Linked DNA regions of Rhinolophus ferrumequinum. The main gene of each other region encodes a partner of the protein of the gene in region 2 in a complex. Links are inferred from orthologs where the notes say so. Each region holds a gene or a part of one and is shown on either strand. Other genes may lie near its edges. The genes, in order: CHTOP, THOC5, THOC7 and THOC2.

What was found.
Region 1: THOC5 (region 2) and CHTOP share a complex: the UniProt entries of both Homo sapiens proteins name them as parts of the transcription/export (TREX) complex. The link is inferred for Rhinolophus ferrumequinum from reciprocal best matches to the Homo sapiens genes THOC5 and CHTOP.
Region 3: the proteins of THOC5 (region 2) and THOC7 are in contact, whole or in part, in a cryo-EM structure (PDB 7APK), measured with the Homo sapiens proteins. The link is inferred for Rhinolophus ferrumequinum from reciprocal best matches to the Homo sapiens genes THOC5 and THOC7. Residues at the interface, in NP_001002877.1 of Homo sapiens: Pro48, Asp51, Tyr52, Tyr55, Cys59, Leu62, Gln63, Met66, Ala67, Gln70, Phe95, Lys99, Leu101, Asn102, Ala105, His106, Arg108, Leu109, Gly112, Arg113, Gln115, Thr116, Ala119, Lys120, Val123, Tyr126, His127, Leu130, Leu133, Glu136; in NP_079351.2 of Homo sapiens: Ala21, Asp23, Ile27, Leu30, Val31, Phe34, Tyr50, Met53, Leu54, Leu57, Cys60, Glu61, Met64, Gly65, Thr67, Leu68, Val70, Tyr71, Asn74, Met78, Tyr81, Ile84, Tyr85, Ile88, Glu89, Ser91, Ile92, Ala95, His96, Lys98.
Region 4: THOC5 (region 2) and THOC2 share a complex: the UniProt entries of both Homo sapiens proteins name them as parts of the transcription/export (TREX) complex. The link is inferred for Rhinolophus ferrumequinum from reciprocal best matches to the Homo sapiens genes THOC5 and THOC2.

What each region holds. Positions count from the first base shown.
Region 1 is NC_046305.1:52,561,763-52,568,865, forward strand, and holds the start of CHTOP (chromatin target of PRMT1 protein), read left to right. Parts: upstream 1-4,084; 5' UTR 4,085-4,449; exon of another isoform or gene 4,450-4,462; intron 4,463-4,961; exon of another isoform or gene 4,962-4,986; intron 4,987-5,390; 5' UTR 5,391-5,407; coding exon 5,408-5,472; intron 5,473-6,804; coding exon 6,805-6,958; intron 6,959-7,103. Other genes in the region: S100A1 (protein S100-A1), read left to right, coding at 1,751-1,891, 2,885-3,028. UniProt on the Homo sapiens protein: Plays an important role in the ligand-dependent activation of estrogen receptor target genes. May play a role in the silencing of fetal globin genes.
Region 2 is NC_046308.1:18,919,317-18,926,777, reverse strand, and holds the start of THOC5 (THO complex subunit 5 homolog), read left to right. Parts: upstream 1-4,448; 5' UTR 4,449-4,586; intron 4,587-4,592; exon of another isoform or gene 4,593-5,243; intron 5,244-5,280; 5' UTR 5,281-5,397; exon of another isoform or gene 5,398-5,401; intron 5,402-5,815; exon of another isoform or gene 5,816-5,949; intron 5,950-6,348; exon of another isoform or gene 6,349-6,383; 5' UTR 6,384-6,384; coding exon 6,385-6,480; intron 6,481-7,461. UniProt on the Homo sapiens protein: Component of the THO subcomplex of the TREX complex which is thought to couple mRNA transcription, processing and nuclear export, and which specifically associates with spliced mRNA and not with unspliced pre-mRNA.
Region 3 is NC_046300.1:57,897,539-57,904,589, forward strand, and holds the start of THOC7 (THO complex subunit 7 homolog), read right to left. Parts: upstream 3,016-7,051; 5' UTR 2,881-3,015; coding exon 2,862-2,880; intron 2,272-2,861; exon of another isoform or gene 2,151-2,271; intron 1-2,150. UniProt on the Homo sapiens protein: Component of the THO subcomplex of the TREX complex which is thought to couple mRNA transcription, processing and nuclear export, and which specifically associates with spliced mRNA and not with unspliced pre-mRNA.
Region 4 is NC_046284.1:33,437,069-33,444,558, reverse strand, and holds the start of THOC2 (THO complex subunit 2), read right to left. Parts: upstream 3,019-7,490; 5' UTR 2,889-3,018; coding exon 2,818-2,888; intron 1-2,817. UniProt on the Homo sapiens protein: Component of the THO subcomplex of the TREX complex which is thought to couple mRNA transcription, processing and nuclear export, and which specifically associates with spliced mRNA and not with unspliced pre-mRNA.

The DNA.
Region 1 (7,103 bases), on a different chromosome or scaffold from region 2:
AAGCTTCCAGATCAGGCTCTCCTACCACGAAGCCCTCCAGTGCCCTCTCAAGCCTCCCTCAATCTCCCAGGAGCTGGGGAGGGGTCCCAGCGCTTGGCTCACTTCCGGTGGGATAAGCTGGAGAGGACAAATGGAGCAGCTGCTCTGCCTCCCCCACCCAGCCTTGCCAAGAGCTCAGGGCCCAGGGACGTCTGGTAGAGCATGGGCCATGTGACATCAGGAAGAGGGGCACTCGGGTGTGGTACCCACTCCCAACTCTCCCTTTCTCCTCCTCCCCTTTCTTGGCCCAGACCTCCAGACTCCTCTTTTCCTCTTTCTTTCCTCTTTGTTTTCCCACCCGCCCCCTCCCTGCCGAGGTCCTCTCAGGATTGCCCCCACATGAAATGCTTGGCTGCTGGCGAGCTCCAGGCAACCCCCAGGTGCCCGTCCTGGATGGGGCCGGTAACTGAGCCACCAGGCCCCTCCCTCTCAGGCCCCTTATCCCCTCCATCAGCCCCGGCTTGGGTTCCATCTCCCCCATGTCTCTGTGACAACCACGTCTCATGTCCGGAGTTCAGGTGACACTCACAAGGGCCCCATTGAAGAGCTGGGATGTCATCTGATCAGGGCCCATTGTCCAGCCCCTCAGGCCTAGGGAAGGATGGGGACACCTGATCTAAGACACCTGAGCTGCCCCCTGAGGCCGTGGTCGGGCTGAATGTCCCAAGACAGAGAGAAAGAGGCCCCCTGGCTTGGCAGTCCCCTCTCCTCAACAGACCCCTCCATTTTTCTCCCCCTGTCTCCCAGCCCCTTGAACTCAGAGGACCTAATGCACTCGGCCCTTTATCTCCCCCAATACATACCAACCCCGTTCTCCCTGCTGCCACTGTCCCCACTCCAACCAGACTGGGCCTGGAGGGTGGGAGTAGCTACTAGCAGTGACAAGTCCTCATGGGTCTCCTCTTCCCCTCCCTAGAAGCTCTGGCTCCAGGGAAAAGTCTCAGACATTCCTGTCCCTTCCCACCACCACCCCATGGAAGGGCTAACTCTGTGGAAAAGTAAGAGGAACCAAGCTAGAGACATACCCCCGGGAAGTGCCATGCTCAGGAGAGAACAGAGTTGAGGGACCAAAAGATGCCCCATCTGCTGACAGGAAGCTCAGAGGCAATGAGACTTCCTTCCCACGACCCTTGGGCCGCCCACTCAGGCTGCCACCCTCTCCATCAGGCTGACCAAGGGCACCAGACTGACTCCTTGCCAGGAGTGGGCAACAGAGTCAAGTCTGTAGACAGGAGCCCAGCCCACCACCTCCAACCGCAGAGCTTGGCTATGCTAGGCAGGCAAGGTTCAGGGTAAAAATAGAGCCAGAGGAAGCCTGGCTGGGTCCTGTGACCACCCCTGCCTGCCTGCCTGCCTGCCACACCCTCGTCAGTATCTGTGCAGCCAGCCAGGAGACACTGCAGGGTCCACGCAGGCCTCTAGAGCCAGCCCTGCTCCAGCTGTTCCCCCTCCATGCCCCAAACTCTGACTCCCTCTGGCGGGGGTTTGGATGGAGGGACACACAGAACAGGTCTGGACTTAGATCTGTTTGGGTTCCCCTACATTTTAGGGTCCCACTGAGAGGTACATTGTGATGGAGCTCCAATCTCATGGCTATTTGGGCTGTGGGACCAGGACCAGGCCTGAGGGCTCCCTTCACCCCAACCCCAGATATCCTGAGCATGGTCCCCTGCTCACTTCCATGGTGGGGGGTGCATAGGTGAGCTTCGAGATGGGGTCTGAGCTGGAGACGGCGATGGAAACTCTCATCAACGTGTTCCACACCCACTCGGGCAAGGAAGGGGACAAGTATAAGCTGAGCAAGAAGGAGCTGAAAGAGCTGCTGCAGACGGAGCTCTCCGGCTTCCTGGATGTGAGTACAGGGTGGGGGGATTGGGTGGAGCGGGCAAGGGCTGGGGGGCACCGGGGGCCCCTCCCTGCCCTTTCCCCAGCTCACCCCAGCTCAGCCCAACCATCTCCTTCCCGTCCCAGGCTTCTCTCCTGGGTTTTTCCAGGCTCCCCTACTCCTGGTTCAAGCCAAAATGCCCCGAGTTAGTGATCATCTGTCAAGGACCAGGACCTGCGTAGATACAGCCATAACAAGGCTCACAGTCTGGAAAGGGAAGATTGACCCTTGAAAGTAAATTTTGGACACCAGGAAGCACACAGAGCCTTAACAGAGGTGCCAGGAAGGATTCTGGGAGAACATTAACCTGACTGAAGTGGGATGGCTTCTCCACAGAGGCGACACTTGAGCCATAGGTTTCCAATGGAAGATGCTTAGGATGAAAGTAGACATTTTGGGTGGAGGCGTTTGCGTGAATAAAAGCACGGCAGAAAGAAGAGTATGGAGCACACTCAGTAGTTTCGACTGCAGGGAAGGATGCAGAAAAACAGGCTGAAGGAGAAGCCTTCAGCTTCTGAGGTTTTATTAGACCTGGGCTCAAGCTTGGGCGCAGCCACGCTCACTCTAGCTGTGTGACTTTGGACACATTATTTAACCACCAACTGTCTCTTTGTTTCTTCTCTAGAACGGGAATAATGCAACCTACTTCATGCTATTTGTGTTAGAATTAAACGAGACAGTGCTTATAAAGCTCCTAGTGTAGCGCTTGTCCATTGTAGGCGCTCAACATATGATAAATGGGTGTTTCTAACTCTGCCTCGTTGAGGGGCTTACTGTATAGGCAGCAGGAGGCCGCAGTGTTTGTCAGTTTCGAGGAAGGCAGCAGAAGAGTCCCCTAATTAGATGTAGCACTCCCTCTTGCTCAGCTCTGCCTCCTGCTCCCCAATCAATCACCCCCCCCTTGGCTCTAACTGGGCGCCATCCATCTCCATACACCTCCCCGTCCATCTCCCTTCACAGGCCCAGAAGGATGCAGATGCGGTGGATAAGGTGATGAAGGAGCTGGATGAGAACGGAGACGGGGAGGTCGACTTCCAGGAGTACGTGGTGCTGGTGGCTGCCCTCACGGTGGCCTGTAACAACTTCTTCTGGGAGAACAGCTGAGCAGACAGCCCCAGTGGGCAGCGCCCTTCCCCTCTACCCTGCCACCCCTGCCCGTGTACTCTGCTTCCCCCTCACCCCGCGCCCCGCTCCCCACAGTCCCACCCTTGCCTACCCTCCAACAAGGGCGCAAGAGTCGTGGGCCAGGCCTGCAACTCTTTCATTAAAGGCTCCTCTCTCGCCAGTCTGTTGTCCTTCCTTTGGGCTCCGGAACGGGGGTGTGATCCCTCCCCATCTGCCTTATTCGGGGTTGGCTCTTATTTGGAGAGAGGTCAAAGGACCATTACATCTTCCTACTGGAGGAATATTCAAGGCCCGGGAAGGCAGGGGTTCAAGATACCAGCTGCAAGTGCAGGAGACATTAGCTCCGCAGCTGCAAAGCCAGACAAAGAATTTCCCTTCAACCTTCAAAGCCTATTTCGAGGATCTGCCATGTGCCAGATATGGAGTAGGCACCGGGGATACAACGGTGAACAAACCAAACAGACCCTTGTCCTCACGTCCCGTGAGGACGCCAGACCATTAAACACGCGCACATACTGGAGGGGAAACGAAAGAACCCTGATGGGGGCGCACGGGGTGGAGGAAGGGCTGATGATGTATTCGTTCATTCATTCTTCAGCCATTTTCGCCTTTTATTGTGTACGCAAGCATTAGAAAAGTCCCATGTATGTCTTCATCAACATCCACATGGATGGCAGAGGGGGAGGGACAACGTGGGAGGGGCAACAGGCACGCAAAGGTTGTCACCAAATAAGGCTTTAACAAGTCCCAGGTAGAACATTTTGGACGGTCTGCCTTAGACTGGGGGTCGGGCAGGCGCGCGAGGAAACACGAGCATGTGTTGCCTCCGCACCGAACGCGCTCGGAGCGGCCCTCAAGGTTACCGGCAACCGCGTCTGGAACGTAAAGCCCCGCAGGACCCCACTGCGCGGCCGTTGGCCACGCCCCTTCGTGGGCAGAGCACCGCGGGCTCTGGAAGGGGCGACGGCTAAAGCCCCGCCTTCTCCCTAAGGCTCCTCCCCGACCCCCGCGCAGGCGTAACCCAAATCTCCCCGCCCACTAGCTGTGCGTGGGCCTGTCGCCTGACGTAATTGCGTCGACGCCATTTTAGCCGGGCCCACTCCGCACTGGGCGTGGCGGCCATTTTGTTTGGACTCGGAGCGGGAGTTGGCGGCAGCGGCTTGCGGTGGCACAGCCGGAAGGCAGGGCAGGGCAGGCCGGGCGCGCAGGCGGACCACCGAGCAGACAGCCGGCCGACAATAACGAACTAACCTAGCAACCTACCGCTTACGCATCTAACCAACCGCCCACCAAGCGAACCCGAGCCCCTCCGCCGTCAACTCAGGTTCGGCCGGCCCCCGGCCCGCCTGCCGCAGCCGTGGTGGCAGCCCCGGGAGGAGCACTGGCGTCCTTTTCCTGCGGTACGTCGCTGCGGTGAGAAGGAGGGGAAGGTCTCGGGGAGCGGAGCGGAGCGGAAGGGGCCGGCGGACGCGAACCGGGTGGGAGGTGGGAGCAGGTGGGGTGCTGGCGTGGGGAGGCCCCGGGGAGGGGGCGGAGCCGCGGGGAGGCACGCGGGGGCGGGCCTGAGCTGGAACCTCGTGGCGGGATCGCTGGAAAAGAAAGGTTGGGGTTTGGTAGCGCTGAGAAGCAAAACGGTTTGGCCGGTTGAGCAAAGTTGGCCGTCTTGCCAGGGCTTTGAGCTGGTGGGGAGAGGAAAAAAGGAGAAACGCAGGACTTGGGGGATCGTGGGAAAGGAGCGGCGGCTTCAGGGTTAAATCTTGTAGCGCGCTCTCTGGGAGCTAAGTCCCGGGTGAATGCCCAATTAGGAAACCTTCCCTGCGCCCTCTGGCAGGTCCCCAGCCCCTTGCTAAGGCCCCTACTTGATTTTGATATTAGGTATGCCCGTTATCGTTTCTCTAGATCAATGGTTCCCGATTTTGGCTGCACAGGAGAAGCACGTAGGTAGCCTTTTTTTTTCCGCTTCCAATTTGTGACCCACAGACCTCACCACTAGAGATTGTGGTTCAATTGGTTTGGGCCCAGGATTCTAAATGTTTCTAAAAGCTCCTTGCAGCCAAGGTTGAGAAGGACCACGCGAGATGAAGAGCCAAACTCTTCCACTTCCTTTAGCTAGGTCTGCCATTTTGGAGGCTTTGGCTGATACTTGCTGTCCTGTGGAGTCTTTGAGGGTGGTGGTTTGAGGTCGTTTACAAATTTAAGCCCCTGGAAGGCGTTGGAGTGTGCTCTTAAATAGCTGTTGATACAGGCCTTTTTCAGGCGCTGTTGCTTTGGGCCTTTGGCCTTTGCAGAAGTGAGGTCGTTGGTATTGCGATGTGCTCATTCTGCCTATTGTCCTTTGTAGATTACCGGGATTTGAAGATGGCTGCACCGTCAGCGCCGAAAGTTGTGCTAAAAAGCACCACCAAGATGTCTCTAAATGAGCGGTGAGGCAGCCAACAGCAACTTCAGCTCGTTCATAAGAAAACATTACTTAAATTGGCCCTGGGGTCCAATGCACAAAAGCCGGTTTTTAAACTAAATACCAACAGAAGGCTACAGACCTCTGTTCTTAGTTGCATCTTATGTGGTACACAAAGCAAATTGGGCGGTTGTTTCAAAACCCCTTATCAGTAGATTTTTATATTAAGCTGTCTGAAATATTTGTCTGGTGGGATGTATTTTAAAAAGACTCCTCACACCCTCCCTTTTCTTCACATTTTTAACGTTGACACAGGGATGGTGCAGCTCAGTAGCACGGTACCCAGGCTGCAGCCTGCAGCCAGCTTGCTGCCCCGTCCAAGGCCAGCAGTGTTGTGTCTGGCCTGTAAGAGGCAGGTAGCAAGCCGTGAATATGTCCAAAGGCCCTTGAACGCCATTCTTGGGTCTTGTAAGAGGCACTTGCTTTTGCTCCATTTCACCTTCTTTGCATTCTGCTTTGAGTTTGTTTTGTTTTGGATTCTTTTACAGTTAAGTGTTTTCTCTTCCATGCCATTAAACTTACCCTTACAGGAATAATAGAAGAGTGTCTTCACGAGCTCTTAAACAATTGACCAAATCTAACTTTTCAGAAGTAAACACTTGAAATTAGAAAAAGTAATCGTTTGAGACTAAGAAAATGAAGGTATTAAAAGGCAGCTTCTGTCTCTGAGAGCTTTGTTTGTTGAGTGCCTTTGACCAGTGATGTGTTAAGTTGATATTCGACCACAAAAAGATTTACTTAAATGTTTATGTTTTCCTTTTCTGAAGCATATGTGCTTGGCCTTCTCTCCTGGGGAATGATACACTAATTCTGCACGTTCACATGTTACCGAGTGAACAAACAGGAGAATGTGGTGTGCTCATGCGATTTACGAGCGCCGTATTCCCGTGGGCTTCCGAGGTGCTCCTGGCCTGTGTATTGGCCCTTAAAATGCACCCTCAGGTCTCCCAGGGTTTTGGCTTTCTTCGTTTGTCTTTGAAACTCCATCTTGTGTCTCATGTTGTCATCATATCTGCTTATTGCGTGTTTTTCATACCTTCCACCTCTCCCAGCCGTCACCTGAGCCCTCGTTATCACTTGATTGAATGTGCTGCACTTAGCTGCAGTTCTCAGTTTCTGATTCTTGCAAGTTTGTGGAAGCAGAGGAGTCTTTAACCCACATCAGCCTTGATCTAAGTACCACTTTACTTAAAAGTTCGTGGGATCTGGAGCTCCTGGTCTAGCAAGCCATGAAAATGCCAATAAATGTTTTGTAATAAAGCTTTTATTTAAACATCCATTTTGTTCGACCTTGAAGCTTTACTAATATGCTGAAGAACAAACAGCCGATGCCAGTGAATATTCGGGCTTCGATGCAGCAACAGCAGCAGCTAGCCAGTGCCAGAAACAGAAGACTGGCCCAGCAGATGGAGAATAGACCCTCTGTCCAGGCAGCATTAAAACTTAAGCAGGTGAGAGGATGGGTCATACCACTCCAGAAGCAGCTGGTGATCTCTGGCAGGCAGTTCCCTGAGCCTGTCAGGACCTGATGGATGGTTCCAAGGTGGCTCAGGGCAAAAGCTGAAACTTCTCTGGGGGAGAGAAGTTCAGAGAACT
Region 2 (7,461 bases):
GATGATGATGAAGAAAAGCATGGGAACCTGCATTGGCTAGAATAGACAAAGAAGGCCTCTCTGAGGAGGTAAAAATGTAAGCCCAGCTAAAGAATGAGAAAGAACCAGCTGTGAATTGCTAGGGAAGGGCATTCCAAGGGCCTTTGCATGGAGGGAACAACACGTGCAAAGGCCCTGCAATGGGGAAAGGCCTTCAGGGTTTTGAGGAGTGCAAACGAGCCCTGTGTGGAAAGAGTGGGGAAGAGTGTGAGGTCAGGCTGGGCCTTGCAGGCTATGGGGACGAGGTGGGATTTATTCTAAGTGCAATGGGAGGCTGCTGCAGCATTTTAAGCAGCATGACATGACCTATAGTATGTTCTAATATGACTTCTCTGGCTGCCATGTGCTTTGCTGAGAGCATTTTGCAGGGAAGTATTTTGCAGAGAGGCACTGGGGCATCAAGAGACGGTTACACTACTTCAGGCAGGAGAGGTAGTGGCCTAGCCTAAGGTGGTGGCAATGAAATTGCTGAAAAGTCCACAAATTAATTAGTTCGGAGGTGGAATCAATGGGACTTCTGCATGAACTGTCTGTGTGGGGCAAGAAGAGGACTCCAGGACTCCCAGACTCCTGTTTGAGCAGCTGTATGTCGCTTACTGAGACCCTAAGAGGAGTAGGTTGGAGGGTTTAAGAGTGTAATTTTGACCCTCAAAAGTGTTATATTTGTGATGCTGACATACCCTGGTGGAGATGTTTAGTTGGCACCAGATACATGAGTATGGAGCCTGAGGGAGATTTCTGGCTGGAAATATAAATTTGGGAGTTGTAAACAAATGTACTGATCGAATGAGATTGTCAAGGCAGACAGTGTTTGCTAACAGTCCAAGGCATTGTGGAGGAAGAGACAGCAGGACAGGGAGAAGGGCCGTGGGAGGGGGGCCCTGTGCTGGGTCCAGGGTCAGATCCTCTGCCCAAAGAATGAAACAATGCCTTTCCTACAGCCTATAAAGATCTGCAGTCTCGGGAGGAAACTAGAAATGCTGCCTGGAGGAAGAGGGGCTGGGATGAAAATGTCTACTACACCGGTGAGCAAGCACCTCTGGGGGCTTCGTGAGGCCCTTGGAGGTCATCTGCAGGAGCCCTAACTGAGGTTGGAATCTCCTCTGCAAGGAGAGCTAGCCTCACTTGATTACCTTTAGTGATGAGGAACTTTCTTTTAATAAAATGAGTTAGTGGGTTTCTATCGGGGTGGCACACGCCACATGATCCAGAGTCCCTAAGTGAGTGCTGTGGGGGATGACAACACCACCGGGAGGTCCCTGCCTCAGAGAAGCAGGGTAGTGAGCGAGCACTGTGACCTCAGGCTTGGTTCACCTCACAGAGGCTGTTTCCTTATCTGTAAGATGGCGAGAGTGCCTGCCTTGGATGGCTGGAGGAAGGATTCCAGGAGCTAATTTGTGAAAAGTGCTGAACTTCGCCCAGACTGACACAAAGGAAGCATACAGCAAATTTTTTCGAGCCAGTTCTTTTGCTTACAGCGTTTGCCACTTTGCTGGGCCCCCTGAGAACCAGCTGGAGTCAGCAGGTGTTGACTGAGCCCTCACTGTGTGCCAGGGACTATGGTGGACAGGTGGCTGGGGGGCCCAGCATGAACAGGAGCCTATGCCTGCCCTTAAGGAGCTTACATCTGGGCTGCCACACTTAACTGGTGTAGGGGAGAATGCGTCTCCTGAAGTTTACCGGAGGCTCTTCAAAGTGTGGTCCCAAATGATGGTAGTGTCAGCATCCCTGGGACCTTTAGAAATGCTGAATCTCTATCGCTTCTCGGCCTTTTGGCTAAGATCAAGTGTAGAAATGCTGAATCTCAAGCCCTTCCTCCGCCCACTGAATTAGAATCTGTGCTTTAACAAGAACTATAAGTATTAATCACTTGCATGCACAATAAAGTTTGAATAGCTCTGAGCAGGAGGGAACAGTCTGACCTCCTGGGTGACCTTGGGTTGACCGGCTCTGGGCTGAAGGCTCCCCATCTGTAAAATGAGGCAGTTGGACTAAATCTGCTTGTTTCATACCTCAGCCACTTGAGGACCCGCTGACAGCTTTTGTTCTACCCGTATACGACTGCCACAGTTATTTTCTTTAAGTCCCCCTACTTGACTCTCTAACTAGCTTTGTCATGAGCAGTAGTATCTGAAATCACTTTTTATTATGCTAGGTTTTTTTTTCTTCACATATACAGGAAAATAGATAATTATGAAAATTTTCTAAGTGTTGCATTTTATCACCACCTAAGTCCCCTCTCCTTTCAGTTTGGAAGACCTGGTACTCTCCATGGGCCATTTAGGAGGGCATTGGGGCTTTTCCTGTCTCAGCATCTCAGGCCTCTTCCCCCTTCAAAAGCCAGTTTCGGGAGTTGGCTCGCCTCAGCCTCATCCGTGACCTCTGCCTCTCTCCACAGTCCCGTTGGTGCGACACATGGAGTCTCGGATCATGATTCCTTTGAAGATCTCACCTCTCCAGTGATGCTGCTGTTGGCTCCACCTCTTTCCCCTTCTCCCTCAGGGCAGCCATGGACAGAGGAGCTCCCAGGCCAGCTGCCTTGTTTTCTCTCGGATTTGGGAGGACTCGGGGGGCTAGTGTTCAGCTCAGAAAAGGGGGAGCTGAAGGATGACAGGGTTCTGAGGATTTGCAGCTCTGCCCAGACAGTTCCCACATTCCCCAGCACTCCTTCCCCTGGGCGGGAAGCAGTTTTTAATTCCTTTGAATGAAGAACAACAACCTTTTATGTCTTCTCACATCTTCCTTAAGATTCCTCATCTCAAGGCCACCAGTCAGTCCCCAGTTAGCACCACAGAATCCCTCAGTTTAGCTTTAGTTGCACAAAAGGTAGTGTGTCCAGGGATTAGAGCTTGGGTGGGAAGGGAAGAGGTCAAAGCAGGCCAGGTGCTCAGGCATTGCTTGGTCTCCACTGGGCCACATACTTGCTGGACAGTCTAAACCATGTCCCTCTTGCTGCGGAAAAGCCTAGAATTGCTTCAAGATATAAAGAGGGAAGCCTTCAAGTTAGCAAAGTCAGCAGGAGGTCCATATATTCCACCCAGAAAGGCTGGGGAAAGGGAGATGGAAGGAATCTGGGGGCAGGAAACAAAATGGAACAGGAACAAGAACCCAGAACTAGGAACCCAGAAAGTAGAACTTAGGATTCAGAACTAGGGTTTGAACTGCAGAACTTGGAATACATAATAGGGACGATAGAACAGAGGTGACAAAAGACCACTTGGGGAGGGGCTCCTAATACAAGACAGAGAGGCTCACCTGTTTCTACATAATGAGGCTGGAAACTTGAATATGTAGTTCCAGCCCTGTACAAAGCGTCTCCTGTCCTCCCTTTTCCTTCTTTCAGGCAAGGGTATGGGCCAGGGCCTATATTTCCCTCCCCCTGCATCCCTTTTCTCCCTCTTCACATTCTATCCATCCAACCCTCATTCTGCCGGGCTACTGGGTGTGTGAAGTGGGGTCAGTGACTTTGGAAGCCTCCTCCGTGACCCCCATACTTCATGAACCTCTGGGTAACTTGATTCTGCCTCCCTTTCAGGAAAACTTGTGCTGGAGTTCCTGATGGAAACAATTAAATGTTTACTATAAACCATCGTTGTTTTTTCTTCATCTGCAAGGAACTTTGGCAGGTGCCCAAGGCAGGGCCAGCTTCCCAGTTTGAACTGGCTAGTTTACCCCTCACTGCCCAGGGTACTATGGGGAGGGCCTCCCATCATGGCAGAAGGAACTGTCCTGTATAACCAGGGATTCAATACCAAGTGTTTCCACCTCCAGATAAGTAGGATTTACACCGTAAGTCCTGAACCCTCCCTGTATGCACAATTCTACCAGGGATAGAAAACACTGAAGCTGTCAAATGCTGCATTAGAGTTGTGACTCTGCCCTGGGCAAATCGGACGTAAAGTGGTAAACTAGTGATGCACCTGTGGGGGAAAAAGTGTTAAGGAGTTAATGCCCTCCCTGACGTGCTACCCTTACCAGTGGGAAATGTTAGGATGAATGTGTATGGTTTAAGAATCCAGGTTATATTGTCTAGTAGCAAACGAGTTAAACTAGCAAAATAAGCATCAAAATTAGAAACCTCCTGCCACCCAAAAAAGAAAATTCCAGGTATGGAAGCAAATCCACAAGGGTCCAAATCTTGGCACTACCACACTCTTGTGTTACGTTGGGCTTTAGTCAAACAACAAATAACGACAAAACATGTACTAGCTGCTGGGCATTACTTTAGGCGCTGGGGAAAAAGTGAACAAGGCACATAAGAATCTTTGTCCTTGAAGTCTCAGTTTCTTGGTTTTAGAGGGCAGTACGAGGGTGTTGGCAGTTGGGACCCTCCCCTAAAACCCAGGTGCCGCGGCCTCCTTGCTCCCACGTCACCAAGCCGCTGCCTGCACTGCACGCTGACTGCGGGCTTTGCGCTTCGCTTCCGGCCTCCGCGCCTCGCTTCCGGCCGGCCGCTCCTTCCTTCCGTTTCTCTATGGTGCGCGGCTCACAGTCTCTCCGCCCTGGGAAGTGGCTCGTTCTCCTGGACTGGTTTCGGGCGCCGTGGGGTGAGGAAGGGATCGGGACCGCGGCGGGGCGGGCAGGGGGGCTCTGGGATTGAGGTGTGGACAGCGCGGAAGGCGTCTTTGGGCTGGAGTCCAACCAGGGTTCTCCGTCCTCGGAGAACCAACCCCGGGGTTCCAGGCCGTTTCCTTCTGTGGAAAATGTCGCGGTAGCTGCAACATCGTCAGGCCCACGTTGTAGCCTCTAGATGATGGCGACGCGACGATGATGGTAATGGTGATAACAGTTGACATTCATTGTGCGCTTAGGTATGCCAGGCACTCTTTACTGTGTTGCCAAAGTCGGGATTTCCCACGTTTAAGCCTTTCGGCTTTCACCTTTGTGGGTTTGGCCATATCAACCAACCATGTAGGACTGTTTACTAAAGGTTTTTAATCGAGTCACTTTTAAAATTTGAATTTACTTCAAAAGAAAAATTGAAGTCTCTGCCGTAAATATAAAATTTCTTTCACTTGCCATATGCAGAAGGTAGTGACAAAAATCAATATGTTTAATAAAACAGATCATTGTTAATGATTCGGGCCCGATTTCAGTCTACAGCTCTGAGACAGTCCTTTTGTTAACAAAGGAATATTGGTGTTCATAGATGTTAAAGGTAAACTAGGGAGATGAGACAGTCTCCTTGAAGCAATCTGAAGTTTCTAAAAGTAATTGAAAAGGGATTAACTTTCTCCTCAGGTGTTCAACATTATGTAAGATCATCCATGTACCATCTAAAGCCCCGCTCCCAAATCATCTTCATCACCTTTCCCAGTGGAGGACATTCCTGTGTTAATGTCCATAACAACCCCTGAGGTAGGTAGGAACTGTTATTTATTATTTTATTTTTTTAAGGAAGGTGCAGCTCACAGGGGTCCATGCGGGGATCTAACTGGCAGCCTTGGTGTTATTAGCACCACGCTCTAACCAACTGATCTAAGGGGCCACCCCAGGAACTGTTATTCTTAATTGATCTGTGAGAAAACAGACCCAGAGAAAAGGGAAGTGACTTGACTTGTCCCGGGACTGATGGCCATAAACTAGGAGAGTGGAGATTCCAACTCAGGGCTTCTCTGACTCCACTACAATGAGCTATTGGCCTCCTCAATAATTGTTGGTGACAGGATTCATTGGGGTAAGGGGAATAGTGGGGCTATGGTGACAACCAGGAGAGGTAGTGGAAGGAGGATGCTTTATGACCCAAAGCTTCATGAAATGTTCTTTTAAATTTTAGGGTCAACCAGGGAGTTGATGGCATTGCCAGATGACATAGTGGCAAGACTAGGAAGCACAATAATGTGGTTCTCAAGAGCGCTGATGTGGCATTCGATGGACCCAAGCTTTAGCATACTAGCTGTTTGACCTTGGGCAAGTCATTCACCTTTCTGATCTCAGTGTTCTCATCTATAAAATGGTACTTGTTCTTATCTAAAAGGTTTGTTAAAAGGATCAAATGAGAACATACCCATAAAATGCTTAGATCAAGGTCCAGCACAGTTATCTATCAATAGTATTGGCAATGGGCTTACATGGCATCTGAATAGTTTGGTCCGTGAGGTGGTTCTTCTAAAGGAGGTGGAGGTTGAGAAGATGAGGTCACTTTGGATAGCCTGAGGGATTGAACTGAGCCTTTGGAGCGTTGAGCTACTTTTCTTGAGTTACCAAGGGTGTAAATGGCAAGAACTGAAAGTTAGACACAAGTATTCTGACTTCAGGAAAATTTCCAGTTCCAACTCTGGAAAATATCGAAAGATATCTCCTTAACAGGTTTCTGTTGTTTCTGCCTGACCTCACTAAACAAGCATGTCATCAGAATCGAGCAAAAAACGGAAGCCCAAAGTGATCCGAAGTGATGGAGCTCCATCGGAAGGGAAGCGTAGTCGTTCTGACACTGAGCAGGTGAGATCAGCCGGGGCTGCCGTGCTGCTGAGAAATTGCAGCTTGTGGCCAAGCACCTGGCTGTGGGTTTACAGCAGCTGAGGGTCACAGGGACAGCCTCCAAGGTGGCCTCTGCTTAACCGGGTGCCCAGAATTCACTTGGCTCTACAAAGTAGCCACATCAAGTTTAGCTGCAGCATCCCGAGAACCAACAAGCCTATATACGTGATTAGTGCCTGAACAGAGAATTCATGCTAGTATGGTGTGTGTCTCCAATGTTCCTGGTGGTCAGAAGAAGGCAGTCCATCTGCAGCATGCCACTGGAGCTTTGGCATCGCTGTCTGCTACTGAGACAGTGCCAGAACCACATGCCCGCAAACCCTCTTCTGCGGCCTGAGGGCTCCTGTACTCAGTAGGTTCTTCTCCTTTGCTATTTCTTTATCCTTGAATCTGTCGAGCTCATTTATGACTTAACTATTTAATTATTTGATGGGTTATATTTTTTGTTTGTTTTTAATACTAGAATAGAGAAATATATGGGCTAAAATTTAAGTAGGAAATGATACTTGCCTCAGATTTACGAAATCAAGATTAATGAAGGGCCTCATCCTTTTGGGGGCAATGATTCTGACTCTTTTTTAATTGAGGTGTAATTGGCATAACATTATGTTAGTTTCAGGTGCACAATAAAATGATTCACTATTTGATATATTGCAAAATGATTGCAATAAGTCTAGTTAGCACCCATCACCATACATAGTTACAAAAAAATTTCTTGTAATGAGAACTTTTAAGATCTAGTCTCTTAGTAGCTTTCAAATATGCAATACAGTATTATTAACTAGTTGACTGTATTAAAGAGATGTTCTGTTTACTCCAAACGCTAGGAGAGTAATAATATTTCAGTCTCTGTTGAAGCTTGATTTGACCATCTAAACACCCAATTTCGGTTAAATTAATTCTGGTTTATTTAACAGGCTATCTGTCATGCAGCCATTTTGA
Region 3 (7,051 bases), on a different chromosome or scaffold from region 2:
GTTTTATGCTAAGTGAAATAAGTCAGATAAAGACAAACACTGTATGATTTCACTTATATGTGGAATCTAAACAACAAAATAAATGATCAAGCAAAACAGAAACAGACTCATAGACACAGAGAACAAAATGATGATTGTCAGATGGCAGGGGGGTTGGGGGGCTGGATGAGAAAGGTGAAGGGATAAGGCAGTACAAAGTGGTAGTTACAAAACAGTCAGGGGGATGTAAAGTACAGCGTAGAGAACATAGTCAATAATATTATAATAGCTACATATAGTGCCAAGTGGGTACTGGGCTTATCAGGGGGATCATTTCGTAAATTATATAAATATCTAACCACTATGCTGTACCTCTGAAACTAATATTGAATGTCAACTGTAATTGAAAAGAGAAAGAGGAAGAAGGCACATTTCTCATCAAAGGAAAGTGGAAAGAGGTGAGTAAACCAGCTCTTACATTTAATAGTATTTATTGAACATTATGTGTCAGACTCAGTGCAAAGCACTTTACAACTTTTATTGCACTTAATACTCAAAGCCCCATGGGGTCAATTTTATTATCATCCCCATATAAAGAATGAAACTGAGGCTCCAAGAGGTTAATTAATCTGCACAAGGTCAGAGAGCTTTCTGGAGATTCCTGTAGCCTCTAAGCATGCGGGGGGCCCTTGACTGTAGTCAGTCACTTTACTAGAATTCATCATCCCTTTCCATCTCCTGGAGGACAAAACTCCTCTCTACTTTGAAGTTCTCCACCTCAATAAAGAGAAGTAGGACTAACAAGCATACAGTCACTCAAATCAGAAACCTGGGATAACCCTCCATCTTTCCCCTGCCATCCACTCCATCGTTGAGATCCTGACATTCGCCCCCATAAATCTCTCCCCCACCTGTCCACTTCTCTGCATTCCTTCTTCAGTGGTGCCCCCATTAGCTCTCAGTAGGACCATTACAGTAGCAGCTGAGAGCCCGGGCTCTACAACTTACTACCTGTGCAACCTTGGGCAAGTTTCTTAATACATATATGTGTTCCACTTCCATCTGTAAAGTGGGAATAAAAATCACAACACTGTTTGACATACGATAACACTATATAAATGTTAGAAATAGGGGTGGGAACTTACAACTCCTCGCTTTTCCCTTCCTCTCATCATTCTTCACATAGTAGAGAGTGTGGTTGTTTTTTTAATGCATTGCACTCAGAAATCTCTGGTTCACAACTTTCTAAATTCTAGGCAGTATTTGTCATTTTTGAGTTTTTTCTAGACTTTGGGGCTTTTGCACACGTCATTCAAGTCCAACTACGTCTATTTATCCTTCAAAAATGGGATTAAGACTAACTTTTTCAGGGACGCTTTCTGATCTCCCAGAATGATTAGCCATCTTTGTTACAAGCTTCCCCAGTTCTCAAGCTTACACTTCTCCTGCCGTAACGTTTGCCAGGCTTAAAACGAGTTATCCACTGTGTCTTTCCCACTAGACTGTACTCTCAGCGGGGCAAAAGGTCTCGCCTGTTGGTTCTCGGCTGGAATCCCAAAGCCGAGCCCAGGGGGATAAATATCTACTGAATAAATCAAACTGGAATAAAGCAAAGTTAAAATTTCCAGCGACGGAGCTGGACCGTTAAGAGCCTCCCACTTCACTACTCTCACCACATCCTCAAATCGGGGCCTTTTACTCTCCTTCCCAGTGCCGAGCCCCTTAACGTGGAGGTCCCTCCTACCTCCAGTTTTTCAGAAGTGGCCTCTCCGCAGGCATCTACGCTTACTAGTCACTCTCTTCAAGTAGACCCAGCGACCTGGCCCCCCCCCCCCCGCCCAGATGTCACAGAACTTCCTTCCTCCCAAACTGATAACCTTCTCAGGTTCCCCCCGCAGTTGCCCACGGAGCCTGTTCACCTTCCCCGAGGCATCGCCCTGTTTCATTTCTGCTCTCGGGGCACCGACCACCCGCTGGGCCCTCCTCACGGGGGTCCACCCCCCTAAACCGCCCTCACAGCTCCCCACAAGGCCAGCCCCTGCCCCTGCCCCCGGTCCCAGCTGACGACGCACTCTCCCCGAGACACACGCGCTCCTTTCGTCGCCTCGCTCCACCCGGGAGGCCCGACCCCTCCTCCGGCTCTCACCCCACAGACCCCCGTGCACGCTGACCGTCCGGCAGACGCCCGGCCCACACCTCCTTTTCGGGGCCGTCCTCGGCTCCTCTCCCCACCGCCAGCCGGGGCCAGTTCCGGGCCTCACTGGGATCCACCCCGTCGTGCCGGGGCCCTTCCCCACCGGTCCCGGACTCCTCCAGGTGTCACCCGCTATACGCGGGCGCCCCTGCTACACTCGTCCCGGAACGTGTCTCCTTCCTGCGTGGCCCGAAACCCTCGCCCCATCCCTGGGGCTCGCACTCCCCCCAGCCCCCCACGGGCCCTCCGGACCCCCGGATCCAGGGCCTCCCGCACTTCCTCCCCTTCGCGGGCCTCCCGGACCCCCCACCCCCACCGAGGGCTCCTCCACCACATCCTCCGACAGCCCGGACCCCTTCCGGTACCACCCGCCCACGCAGCGCTCCCAGCCTTCCCGGGCCCCCACGTGTGCCTCCCGGCCTCCCGACGATCCCAGCACAACCCCCCGGGCCCCGCGTGGCCTCCGGAGAGCGAGCGGCCCCGGGAGCGAGAGGGGCTCCGAGGGGGCCGAGGGGCTGCGGAGCGAGGCCGGAGGGCTCGGGGGAAGCGGCCGGGAAAGCCCCGGCCTCCGGGGAGGGGTCTGATCGCCGAGGCCCGGGGACTCCCGGAAGCGGCCGTGGAGCCTGGGGGTCCCGGGGGAGGCCGAGGGAGTCCGGGGAGCGGGCCGGGCGGCGGCGAGCGGCCTCACCGTCAGTCACGGCTCCCATGGCGTGCGCGGCGGCGGCGGCGGCGCAGGCTGAGGCGGCGGTTGGCGGCGGCGGAGGTCAAATTCCCACAATGCAGCCGGGTAAACAGCCATGGAGGAGGAGGCGGCGGCGCCTGCGGCCGCCCGCTCCGACGCCTGAGCCGCGCCGCGCCGCCGCCGCCGCCGGACCCGCGCTCCCCGCGCTCCCCGCACTCCCCGGGGGCGGCCGCGGCCCGCGCGTGTGGGAGCCAGGCCAGGCAGGCGGCGGCGGCCCGGCTGCAGCCCCGGCCCCCGCCGCCCCCCCTGCCGCCCCCGCCCGGCCCACGCCCAGAGGCCGCCCCGGAGGCCGCCGCCAGCCGCCAGGTGAGCTCGCCCGGGCGCCGCCAGTGCGGCGGGGGCCGCGGGCCGCCCGGGGTCGGGGTCCCGGCCCCCTCCGGGGAACGGACCGCGGCCCCCGCCGCCCCGTCCCGACTGCTGCTGCTGCGGGTGGGCTCGCCCCCCGGGGGTGGGGAGGGCGGCGTGGGTGCCCGGCCCCTGCCGAGCCCGGGGGACGTGGGACTAAGGGCACCGATGGGGCGCGGCGCGAGGGTCGGCGCGAAGTTGGCGCCCACGCGCGCCCCGGCGGGTCTCCAACGCGGGCACTTGCGCCGGGCGCGGCCGGTGATCAAAAAAGGCCCCGGGATCCAGGTCGCGTGCTGCCGGCCGGGGCGGCCGCCCCTTTCGCTCCTGGGTACTGGCGGGTGCTGGGAAGGGGGGAAAGAGAAACTTGGCGACCTCCGGGAGCAGTTCGCGGAGCGACGCAGAGCGGTGTGCCCGCCGCCCTCCCCCGGCGCCCGAATCCCGTCGCTGGGCAGGGATGGGGCGCTTGTGTTTATTTTTCTCTTTGACTTTCGGAAAATGTCTATGTGACTGTCCCCATCTTAAGGGGAAGTTGAAAGTGAAGGGGGAGGGGGTGTTTAATGAGAAACGTTGCCTTGTATGTAAAGTTACACATTTCCGGAGCACACTGCAGATTATATTGGCATCTCTTCCCAAAAGTCACTTTGATTCAACTTCGATGAGTTTCTCACAAATGGCAACCTTTAGGTCGTGAAAAGTGAGAAGAGGCGAGCACCGACCCAGCTGCTGATTTGCTCTCCAGTGGGATAGATTCAGTTAGGGCACCAGCAGCGTGTCTGAGTGTTGAACCCAGGTTTGATATTTTATTGATCATAGAGTTATTTTCCAATTTTCCTATCCCGCAAGTAACCGGCCTCTTCATCTCCCGGAGGTAGCACTTAGTGGCGTGGATCTGGTGGTTTCAGTTTCCTTACTAAAGTTGGGTTCATTTCTCTCAGTTCTTTCAAAGAGGAAGAGTTGTAAATGCAAATGTGTAACAACAGTGAAGTGTGTTTCATTTCACCTCTAGCTAGGAATCCAGTGTATGTAAAATACTATTCATATATGAAGTCAGAACTTCAATTATGCTCTTCAACAGTGTTCTGAAGAATCAGCACCTTTGACTTTTGGCACAGAGGTAAATAAATAAATAAAGTTAGGTTGAGTGAAGATTCTTAGGTGTAACTTTCCCTCCCCCAGGGCCTGAAACCTCTTGGGCTTTGAAATAATATTGTCCTAAACACTGGCTGCCTATTTGCATCAGTCCCTGTTCATTTTCTTGGTTTTAGGAGAGAAGATACTCTAACCAAAAGAAGAATTACTTTAAGTCTTAAGTACTATACATTGTAAATTGAATGTGTCAATTGATTGTCTATCCCAAAGGCATTTTAGCAGGGATCATTATTGTTTAAAAGGTAATTGTCTGGGTGAAACGATGTTCTTTTTAAGTTACTTGTTACTTAGTCTCATTATCATAATACAGATTTTGAAACAGTATCTAGTGATTTAAAATAATCTTTAATGTTGTTTATAGATAAGTATCCCTGTCCTCTGTAACTGTTAAATTTTCATGAGACATCCTATCCTTTATTTTGTAAGTTCGTTTTGTAACTTACAACTTTATTGGACAGTGCTAGAAATGTTCTGAAGAAGATCAAGAGAGATGGGAAAGGCTTTGAAGTTGGAGATATACCTGAAAATAAACATTCCTGGAAGTTTTTGAGTCAGGTGGTGGGAAACACATCAAAATTTGAGCCTTTATGAACTTTTAAAAATCTGCTTTGTCAGCCACGTAATTTACCTTGCAGTTGCATTGACACAGATCTGTGTGCTGAACATTTAAAAATTGTGTTAATGGACTTTCCTTCATATCATATATAGTGAAAGAATATATTTTAGTAAATTTTAGACATTGTCTCTTTCTCATGTGATCGATTATATATTAACATGTTAATGAACGTTAAAATAGAGCTCAAGTTCTAGGCCATACTGATGTTTCTTTTCTAGGAAAATCTCGGCAAGAAGTAGCAGATTCTAAGCTATAACAAACTGATTTGGACTTTGAACTTAAATGACCGTAGATTTGGTGATTTACTCAAGTCATGAGATTCCTGGTTTCTTTGAGACTATGAGAGTCTAGTTAAGGAAGTTTGTTTCAGTGTTTATTTAATTTTAACTTTATGAAACTATAAAGGATGATAAGATAACTAGCTATATGATCTTTACCTTGGTCTTATGAAATGATGTAGGCATTTCTATAATATCCTTTTAGAGCAAGGGTCTTCCAGGGGTCTGTGAACCTCTGAGCAGGGGTGGGGGTGGGGGTGGGGGTGGGGCAGGTGTCCACGAATAGGCTTCAAAGGATTCCTGACCCCCTTACAGTTGTGACCGAAACTTTTTGTATATGTGATTTTCTGGGGAGAGAGCCTATGGTTTTAAAATAGGTCCAGGGCCCAAAAAAGTTAGAGAAAGATGTTTTTATTAAATGGGAGTTCGAATAATTTTTAAGAGAAACAAGTAGGAAAAAGTAGATCTTGGTGTTCAATACTTGCCTTTTAAAGTTTCCTTCAGCCTAGTCATGTGGTCTTAGAGGTGCAAAAAGACTTCCATTTTGTTCCCACAGCAAAGCGTCGCCTGTGAGTTGATAAACCATGCACGCACATAAAGGGCTTGACATGCTATCTTGAGTGCATTGTGGCTGTTTTTAAATTATATTTAAAATTTTAGAACAGATAGATTTGTGGTCCATAACAGAGACTTGAGCCTGACAACCAGTCCTCGGAACAAATGGTTCATTCAGTTCCACTCTCTTATTACTCTCCAGCGAATCTGAAATCTGACTGGGAGGTAGTCACTCTAAGAAATGGGTTTGTGCTTTGGTAAGACAGCAGGGTGTGATGGGAAAAACACAATTTCTGACTCGAAACAGGCTTACGTTCAATTCTGGGTTCTTTCATTTACTGTAGCTACTTAACTTGCCTGACCCTCAAGTTCCTCATCTGGAGAAGACTGACTTAGTGGAGGTGTTAGGAAGCTGGCGTGAAGTTCCTGGTGTAAAACTCAGAGCCCCTTATTTGTGCCCAGGAAGGACTTGGAAGCTAGTTGTGGGTAACCATTAATAAACATCTGCGTGAACATGTATAAACAAACATGGTACATGATACCGATGTACGTTATTTTCAAATAAGTATGATGAAAATATTGAAACTTTTGGGAAAAAAAGTCAAGTTTTTAAAAATGAGTTCAGACTTACTGGTTCTTATATTGTAGACGTTTGGGGAAAAGTTGAAGGAGAATGGTGGTGCTGGTGGCCGCGCGAAGGCCCTGAGTGCTGGGCAGAAAGAAGCAATAGGCACGCAGCAGCATCGCCTGTCTCTGGGTCAGATTCCATTTAACTGCTGCTCTTCACTTGTGATTTCAATGAAAAATCTAAGTGAAAAACTGCACGTCTGCTTTCCAGTCCTTCACCTCTAAAAATGTTTGCACACCCCCTGCTTTAAGGGACCCTCACAGGTACCCCAGGGATTTCATTAGTGAAAGTTAAACCTAGGACTTTGGCTGTCTAATTCTGATATCTTTAAGACCTCCACAAGTGGGTACCTGCATCCATTTTTCTCAACAGGAAAGAGTATGGAAGAACTGAATTGTATTTTCCTTTCTTTAAACATTGAAGGAAGAGAGGGTATTATGAGTGAAAGAAGAGATATATGAATAAAATACTTATAAGGCTCGTGGCCATAAAAATACGCTTGCTGCCACTGTTTCTGTGGTCTTTCCTGTTTCCTCTCATTTACTCATGGTGAGCATTCATACTT
Region 4 (7,490 bases), on a different chromosome or scaffold from region 2:
TTAACACTATTATGCTACAGTTGACAACTCCTGGAATACAGACTTACAATGGTAAGAAAAAAAAAGAAATGAACCTCATGAAACACATCATGCCTTTATAAAAAAGAAAAAGTAATTTTCAGTCAAGTTAAAGCTCACCTGCTAATCTATCTTGCTAAAAAGGAAAAATCCATCCAAGATATAATTTTAAATATTGGTCATATTCTAAAAGCCAGCTCGATAAATGGATTCACTAATAATTTAGTAGCACATTACCTTCATTTTTAACATTTCCAGTTGCTGGTTTATTTTTAAGAGGCTGTTTTAAGAAAAGGAAAGGATTTTTGTAATATAGTTACATCATTTGTTCTAATAAAATGTAAACGCTAACATCTATCTTTAGCAAGATACAAAATATCCAGTTAGACTATATGCAACAAAGTTTTCACAGAGGGCAAAGAGATCAAATAAATGAAGACTACTGGATGGTGATGTGTTTGACTATTTAAAATATTTCATTATGTCACACAACTAGCAACTTCAAACTCTCTTCATATAACCGGATACAATTATAAAACTGACTACACTGATTTGGAGCTACTGAAATTCAAACCACATTCCACAAGCCATGCAATAACGATATACATTTAAGTCCTAATAACAGTTTTGAAGCAGCTCTTCAAACACAGAACTATGACCAGTAGCATAGGTTATATAAATATACATAAAGTGAATCGAAAACTCCATTTTGACTAGGAATTTTGATCTCCTACATCACAGTTTTTTTCACCAACGACTGCCAATCAGAAGCCAAACAGCATTTCTTTGTGTCACAGCAACCTCCTAGCCCTAAAACTACTCATTCCAAGGTGGCAGTCATAATAGTAATACTGTCAAAAACAGTTAGCTGGAAGGAGGAAGCTGAGTAATCTACAAAAATGACAGCCCCTAAATAAATAAGTTGGCTTTAAAAGTAAACAAAACACTGAACTGATTTATCGGTTGGGGTGAGGGGGTATCATAATGTAATATAGATGACGATGATGGTTTGGTTTGGTAACTTCCCATCTTGTCCTCCCTGCACACAAGCAACCTAACAGCTATTTGTTAACTAGCAGAACGAGGATTTGGAAAATGCTCCAGTTAATAATGAATGTCTATCAGATAGACTTCTCTGTCAGCTAATAAGCAAACAAGCACTCTAAGCATATACTAGAAAGGCTGGGGTGGAGGGAGGCTGGAGAACTGAACCAAAACAAATGAGACAGCCCCCACTCTTCAAGGGTCTCAATTCGTTGAGTACAGGAGTACACATGAAAGAGAGACCAATTAACTGCTCACCTTCGTGGTACAGACTTTCAGTGCAAGAGCTGTCCAGGAAGTTTAAATATCTAAAGATTGGAATAATATTACATTTAATAGCTATCACTTGAGCACTTATTATAAGCCCAGTGCTTTACAGGCATTACTTAGTCTTCACAACAATCCTTTGAGTATTCCCAATTTACTCAAGGAGATACTGTCAAAGTGGTTAAGGAACTTACCCAAGGTCACTCAGTTAAGTGGCTAAGAAGGCCGCTTACCCAGGCAATCCAATTCTAGAGCTCACACTGTTAAGACTTCGTAAAGCGGTGCGAACGCGGGGAGGGAGGGTGGAGAGGCCATATAGGCAGGCAATACGACATGCGCAAGATCCGGCAACACGTTCCCCGTGCGTTTCGTTCTAAGTAACGAAGTTCCAAAGATTCGTTATCTTCTCCACCAGCAACCGTAAACTGACTACTTGGGGTTAGGGGGCGACGATGGTAAAAATGGCTAAGTCGTTAACTCATACAGGGTTGAGCTTTAGCTAATAAATCGATTCAAAGAAGCAAATGAGAAATTGTGGGTTTTTTTTTTTTTTTTTAATCTGGGGTTTTGCTACTTAAGCGATATCACCCCCCCCCTCGAGAGCGCTGAAATTTTGGGCGAGGAAACCGTGGGCATGGCAAATTACTATTTTCTGTATTACTTGGGGGGGGCAGTTTATAACTAAAGGAAACGCGTTTTTCTAGGTACTCGAGAACCTTGGAGAGTTGCCAAAATTAGTTGTAGTCCCAGGACAAAATGGGGTTTAGGAAACATTTAATAACGAAAGTTGAGTCCAACCCGAAATGACTCTAAGGTGAAAAAATGGAGCAAAGAAATGCCGGTAGGTCTTCGTGGAAAGCGACAATCCCTACTACACTTCTCCCACGGCCAGCGGCGCCCCGCGAGGCCGGGACAATCCAAGAGACCGCTCCCCGGGAGGACGAGAGGTGACAAGAGGGGCTGTTCGCGACGCCCCGGGTTTCGCGGCGGCGGGCGGAGAAGAAGGGAAGGAGTCCGGGATGGTTCGCCCTCCTCCGACTTCTGGAAGAGGGGGCGCCGGGCTCCAAACTGCGGAGTCGAACGGGTGCAGAGTGAAGAAATGGGACAGAGAGAGATGGAAAGTCCGAACCCACCCGGCGCGGCCCCTTAAGGAGAAAGGAGCCAAGTGAGCTCAAGCGAAAAGGGGGACAAAAAGAGAGAGCAGAGCAGGAGCGCAGGGACGAAACAGGAGTTCTGCTAAGAGGCTAAAGGAAGGCAGGCTACGGCGGGCAGCAGGGATTTCGGGGAGGCCAGGGAAGGAAGGAGATCGGCGGCGGTTAACAGTAGCTCTCCTCCCCGAGTTCGAAACTCCTAGCCATCCACACCCGCCGCCCGGATGGGGGAGGGGACACCTCACCTCCCACCCCCACCCCGCAACCTCCTCTCACATGTGAGAGTAACTCCCGGGCCCGGCCCGGCCGTGCGCCCGCCTCCAGCTCGGACACTCACAATTCGCCTCTCCCAGATTTCTCCCAGTTCTTTATCCACTCTACGGGAAGCACCACCGTTGCGGCCGCCATCTTCCTCTCACTAGTAACAGAAGCCCGGATGTGTAGCACGCGAGCTAGAGGTCAAAGGGGAGCACCGCCCACTGAGAATGCCGGGAGCTGCGAGTTCACTTTTCGATTTCCCGCTCCACGGTCCTCCCCACCCTGAGGAAGCCTAAGGCCCTGTGGCCAACGAGGTGGCCCAGACCCGTGGGCCCCTTCGCAGAGTGACGTCGCTGGCCGCGCCCTATGCCACCCTTGCCCTCACTTCCCTTTCGAACAGGAAAAGTGCCATCCCCAGGCCGACTCGTAGCCCTTATCTTCTTCCGTAGTATCTACTTAAGGCTACTAATTAAAACATATATTTTCCAAACACCTAATATGTGCTAGACACTGGGAATAGAAAAACAATAAACCATGATGCCTATCCTCAACGAGCTCACAGTCTGTGGGAAAGACAAACATACAAGCAGCTCGATTACAATACACCTTGCTAACTGCTGAGATTAAAAATAAAAATACTCATAGAAGAAGTACCCATTTACTGTGTGCCAGACATTATGCTAGTACAATCTAGCGAGAAAAAGAGAAATCGGCCCTGGGAAACGCAGCCACCAGTGCCGACACCCCATAGTGTCTCCCAGGTCTTTGTAACCTTAGGCAAAACGAGGGGGAGTACGTATCATGAGAAACAACTTATTTACATTACTTAGTATCAAAGTATCTCCCGACCAGATACTACTTCAAAGGGCGAAATGGAAACTTTAAGGTGGAAAAACTTGACAAAACAATGTTTCATCTGGGGATGAAAAGAAGCATCCCCAGAAATTAGACAAATGGGCATCATGTGCCTCCTGATAAGGTGCTAAGGAAAACACGAACCAATTTTGTAGTACTGGTCATGCCAAAAATTCGCATAACCTGCTTTTAATCGTGAGGGAACATCAGACAAACCCATATTGAGGGACAGTCTACAAAATTACTGGCCTGCGCTATTCAAAATCGTCAAGATCACTAAAGACGAGGAGTGAGGAACTCTTCCAGATTAACGAAAACTACGGTAGTGACAGCTGATCCCCAGCCAGAAAAAACATTTTCTTATGCTAAAAAAAGGGCATTATTGGGACAATTGACTACATTTGAATATCTATAGGTTAAGTAATAACATTGCATCAATGGTAATTTCTTGGTTTGTAGTGCTCATACCTTGGTTATAGGGAGAGAAAGTCCGTATTTAAGAAAATGCCCACTGAAGTATTTAGAGATAATAGGGCATTATGTTGCAATTTACTCTAGAATGTTTCAGAAAACAAAAAAGATAGGATGATTAAGCAAATGTAAAATATGAATATTTTGGGAATCTGGGTAAAGGACATACAGGGGTTCTCTTTTCTATTTGTGCAACTTTTCAAAATAAGGTTTCAAAAATATATCTTTAGCAGAAAATTTAGAAAATACAGACAAACAAAATGAAGAAATCTTACCACACATATATTAACATATGAACTTTAGAACTAATATCGTCTCAATTTGGCAAGTTTTGCCAAATAGACCAGGTTCACCTGTGTGGAAAAAACAGTTCAGGGATTAGACTGTATTCAGAATAGTTCTGGGGAAATGCTACATTATTATTGTATTTCATCAGCTATATCTAGTCTCCTAATGTCCTATCTGATTTTGAAATTCTAAAGCAACCCCCTAGAAAATACAATACACACCATTCAGTTTCAATGACATCTGCTCATAAAAACTTTTTGCCATTTCAAGGAGTTTCAGAAATATGACTGCCCTTTAATCTCATTTTTCATTATTATGGAGTATTTCATGTGTTAACAGAATGGCATAGTGAATCCTCATTGTATCATGATCCTTCCCTAAAAAAATTTGAAATCATTATTACAGGATGGCTTCTGTGATACAAGCAGCACTATCCTGCTGCTTATGTATTCAGTGTATAATCTACAGCACTTGACACTATCCACATTTGAAGCCAGATAATACTTTGGGGAGGGCAGGAGCGATCCTGTGCCTTCTTGGATGTTTAGCATATCCCTGGGCTGGACCTACTAGATGTCAGTAGCACTCCCCACACCAGTTGTTACAATATCTCCAGACATTGCTGTCTCCTGAAATGCAAAATAGCCCCCTGCTGAGAACCACTGAGCTACAATATCCTGCTGTATTGTGGCTTACCGTGCTACTGTATCACAGTGATTTCTCCTTCCAAACACTGAACTGTGTGCAGTATACACTACTCAGTATACCACAAATGTGGTATGACCTGACTGTAGTGATGCCCTTTGAGACCTTGGTGTTTCCTTTTCCTAGAGCCTGCAGAACTATTTTTGCATGGATGATGACTCCTTTAGGAATTCCTCACAGCTAATTGGCTTTTTGCTCTATAAGATTGCAAAGCTATTATATCTTTTGCATCCTCGTTATTAGCTTACCTGTTTTTTTGCTAACTGACATTGTCTCAGCAGCTGGGAGTACTGTTCCCTGGTGATCTCACTGGCACTTGGGTACCAATGGACTAGCCAGGGATTGAGGTCTGTGGTAAAGGCTAGCGATTTGGTAGTTTCAGTGTTGACAGTCTGGTGAACAGAGTGATAAGTTGATTTTCAATAATCCTAAGGTTAGGCAATCTTACCATCTCAGTGAAAACAGATAATGGGATCAAAAAGGAAGCACATAAAGCAAAACAAGATAAAATAAGTAAAATAATCAAAGAATGAATACAAATGTTATACCCTTTGTGGGCCTGTCCGTTGAAATGCTGTATATCGGTAATGGCTTTTTTATTAACTAAAGACTTAGTTATGTAAAATATACAAATTGAAATTTCTTGGATAACCACCACAAACACAAAAGGATATTATATATCTTCCAAACTGCCACAGCGGAAAAACATTGAAAGAGGAAAAAAAATCAATCAATCCAAAAAAAGGCAAGAAAGGAGGGAAAAGTTTTTGAAAAAGTGGGACAAAGGAAATAGACAAAGATGATAGATTTATTTTTTACAATCTTTTGTACTCTTTATTTTGAAAGGAAAAATGGTAAGTTTAAACTTAAATATATCAATAATTGCATAAAATATAAGTAAACTAAATGCTCCAGTTAAAAGTAAAGATTATCAGACTGGTTACACTTAAAAAAGTGTAACTAATTTTAAGAGACATCCCTGAAACACAGGGACACAAAGTTTAAAAGTAAAAACAATGGGGAAAATATAACAGGCCAATACTGAGATCAATACAAATTAAGCTGTCACAGCTCTATTAATATCAGACAACACAGATTTTAAGGGAAAAATAATCATTAGATTTAAAGAGTGTTACTATAAATTAATAAAATTTTCAATTCACCAGGAAAATGTACTAATCTGGAATGTACTCATTCAACCTCTTTGAAATATATGAAGCAAAAACTAACACAACTACAAGGAGAAATAGACAAATCTACCACCCCAGTGAGAGTCTTTAATTCATCTTTGTCAGAAATATGCAGACCAAAATATCAGTAAAAATGTAGAAAATTAGAACATCAAAGTGAACAAGTTTGATCTAGTGATATACATAGAACATTGTATGTAGCAACTGGAAAATAAACACCTATATTTGGAAATTTAAAAACATACTTTGAAATAAATCATAGGTCAAAGGAAAAGGTCATAGTAAAAATTAGAATACTTAGAACAGAACAATACTGAAAATATTACATATAAATACTAATAGAAAATGATAGGTTGCAGCTAAAGTGGTGTTTAGGAAGAAATTTCTACAATTAAACTTTTGTATTATTAAAGAAACAAGGCCAGAAATAAAAAAGCTAAGCATCAATTCAAGAAGTTGCAAAAACAGGGGTGGCCAGATGGCTCAGTTGTTTAGAGCGAGAGCTCTTAACAACAAGGTTGCCAGTTCAATTCCCTCATGGGATGGTGGGCTGCGTCCCCTGCAACTAAGTTTGAAAAACAGCAACTGGACTTAGAGCTGAGCTGCGCCCTCCACAACTAGATTGAAGGACAATCACTTGGAGCTGATGGACCCTCGAGAAACACGCTGTTCCCCAATATTCCCCAATAATAAAAAAAAGAGTTGCAAAAACAACAACAGAGTAAATGAAAGAAAGCAGAAATAAGGACATTTTAAAATAGCAAATATTAATAAAAAATGAAAATATCCAAGAGAAAATATCAATAAAATCAAAAATGGGTTTGTTGAAAAGTCTAATAAAACTGAAAAACCTCTGTCAAGACTGATTATAAAAAAGGAGAAGGTATGTATAAACAAATATTAGGAATTGTATAGGGTTCATGACGGGAAACACATGACATACTCAAAGGAGATAATTAAAGAGTTTAATGAGGGAACCATGCACAAGGGTGCTGCAGGATTGAGAGAAAACAACAAATGGATGGTGAAGCACCTCAGGGCTAGCAATACTTGGAAGTAGTATACCTAAGCCTGAAGGGGCAAGGGGACTTACTAAAAACTAAAGAAATATTCAGGTGTACAAAACAATGTTAATAAAAAAAACTAAAGAAATAAGGAAAAGTAAAATAAAATAAATAAAATAAAACAAAATAAAATAAAAAGGAAAGGAGGGGGCGGCCGGTTGATTCAGTTGGTTAGAGCA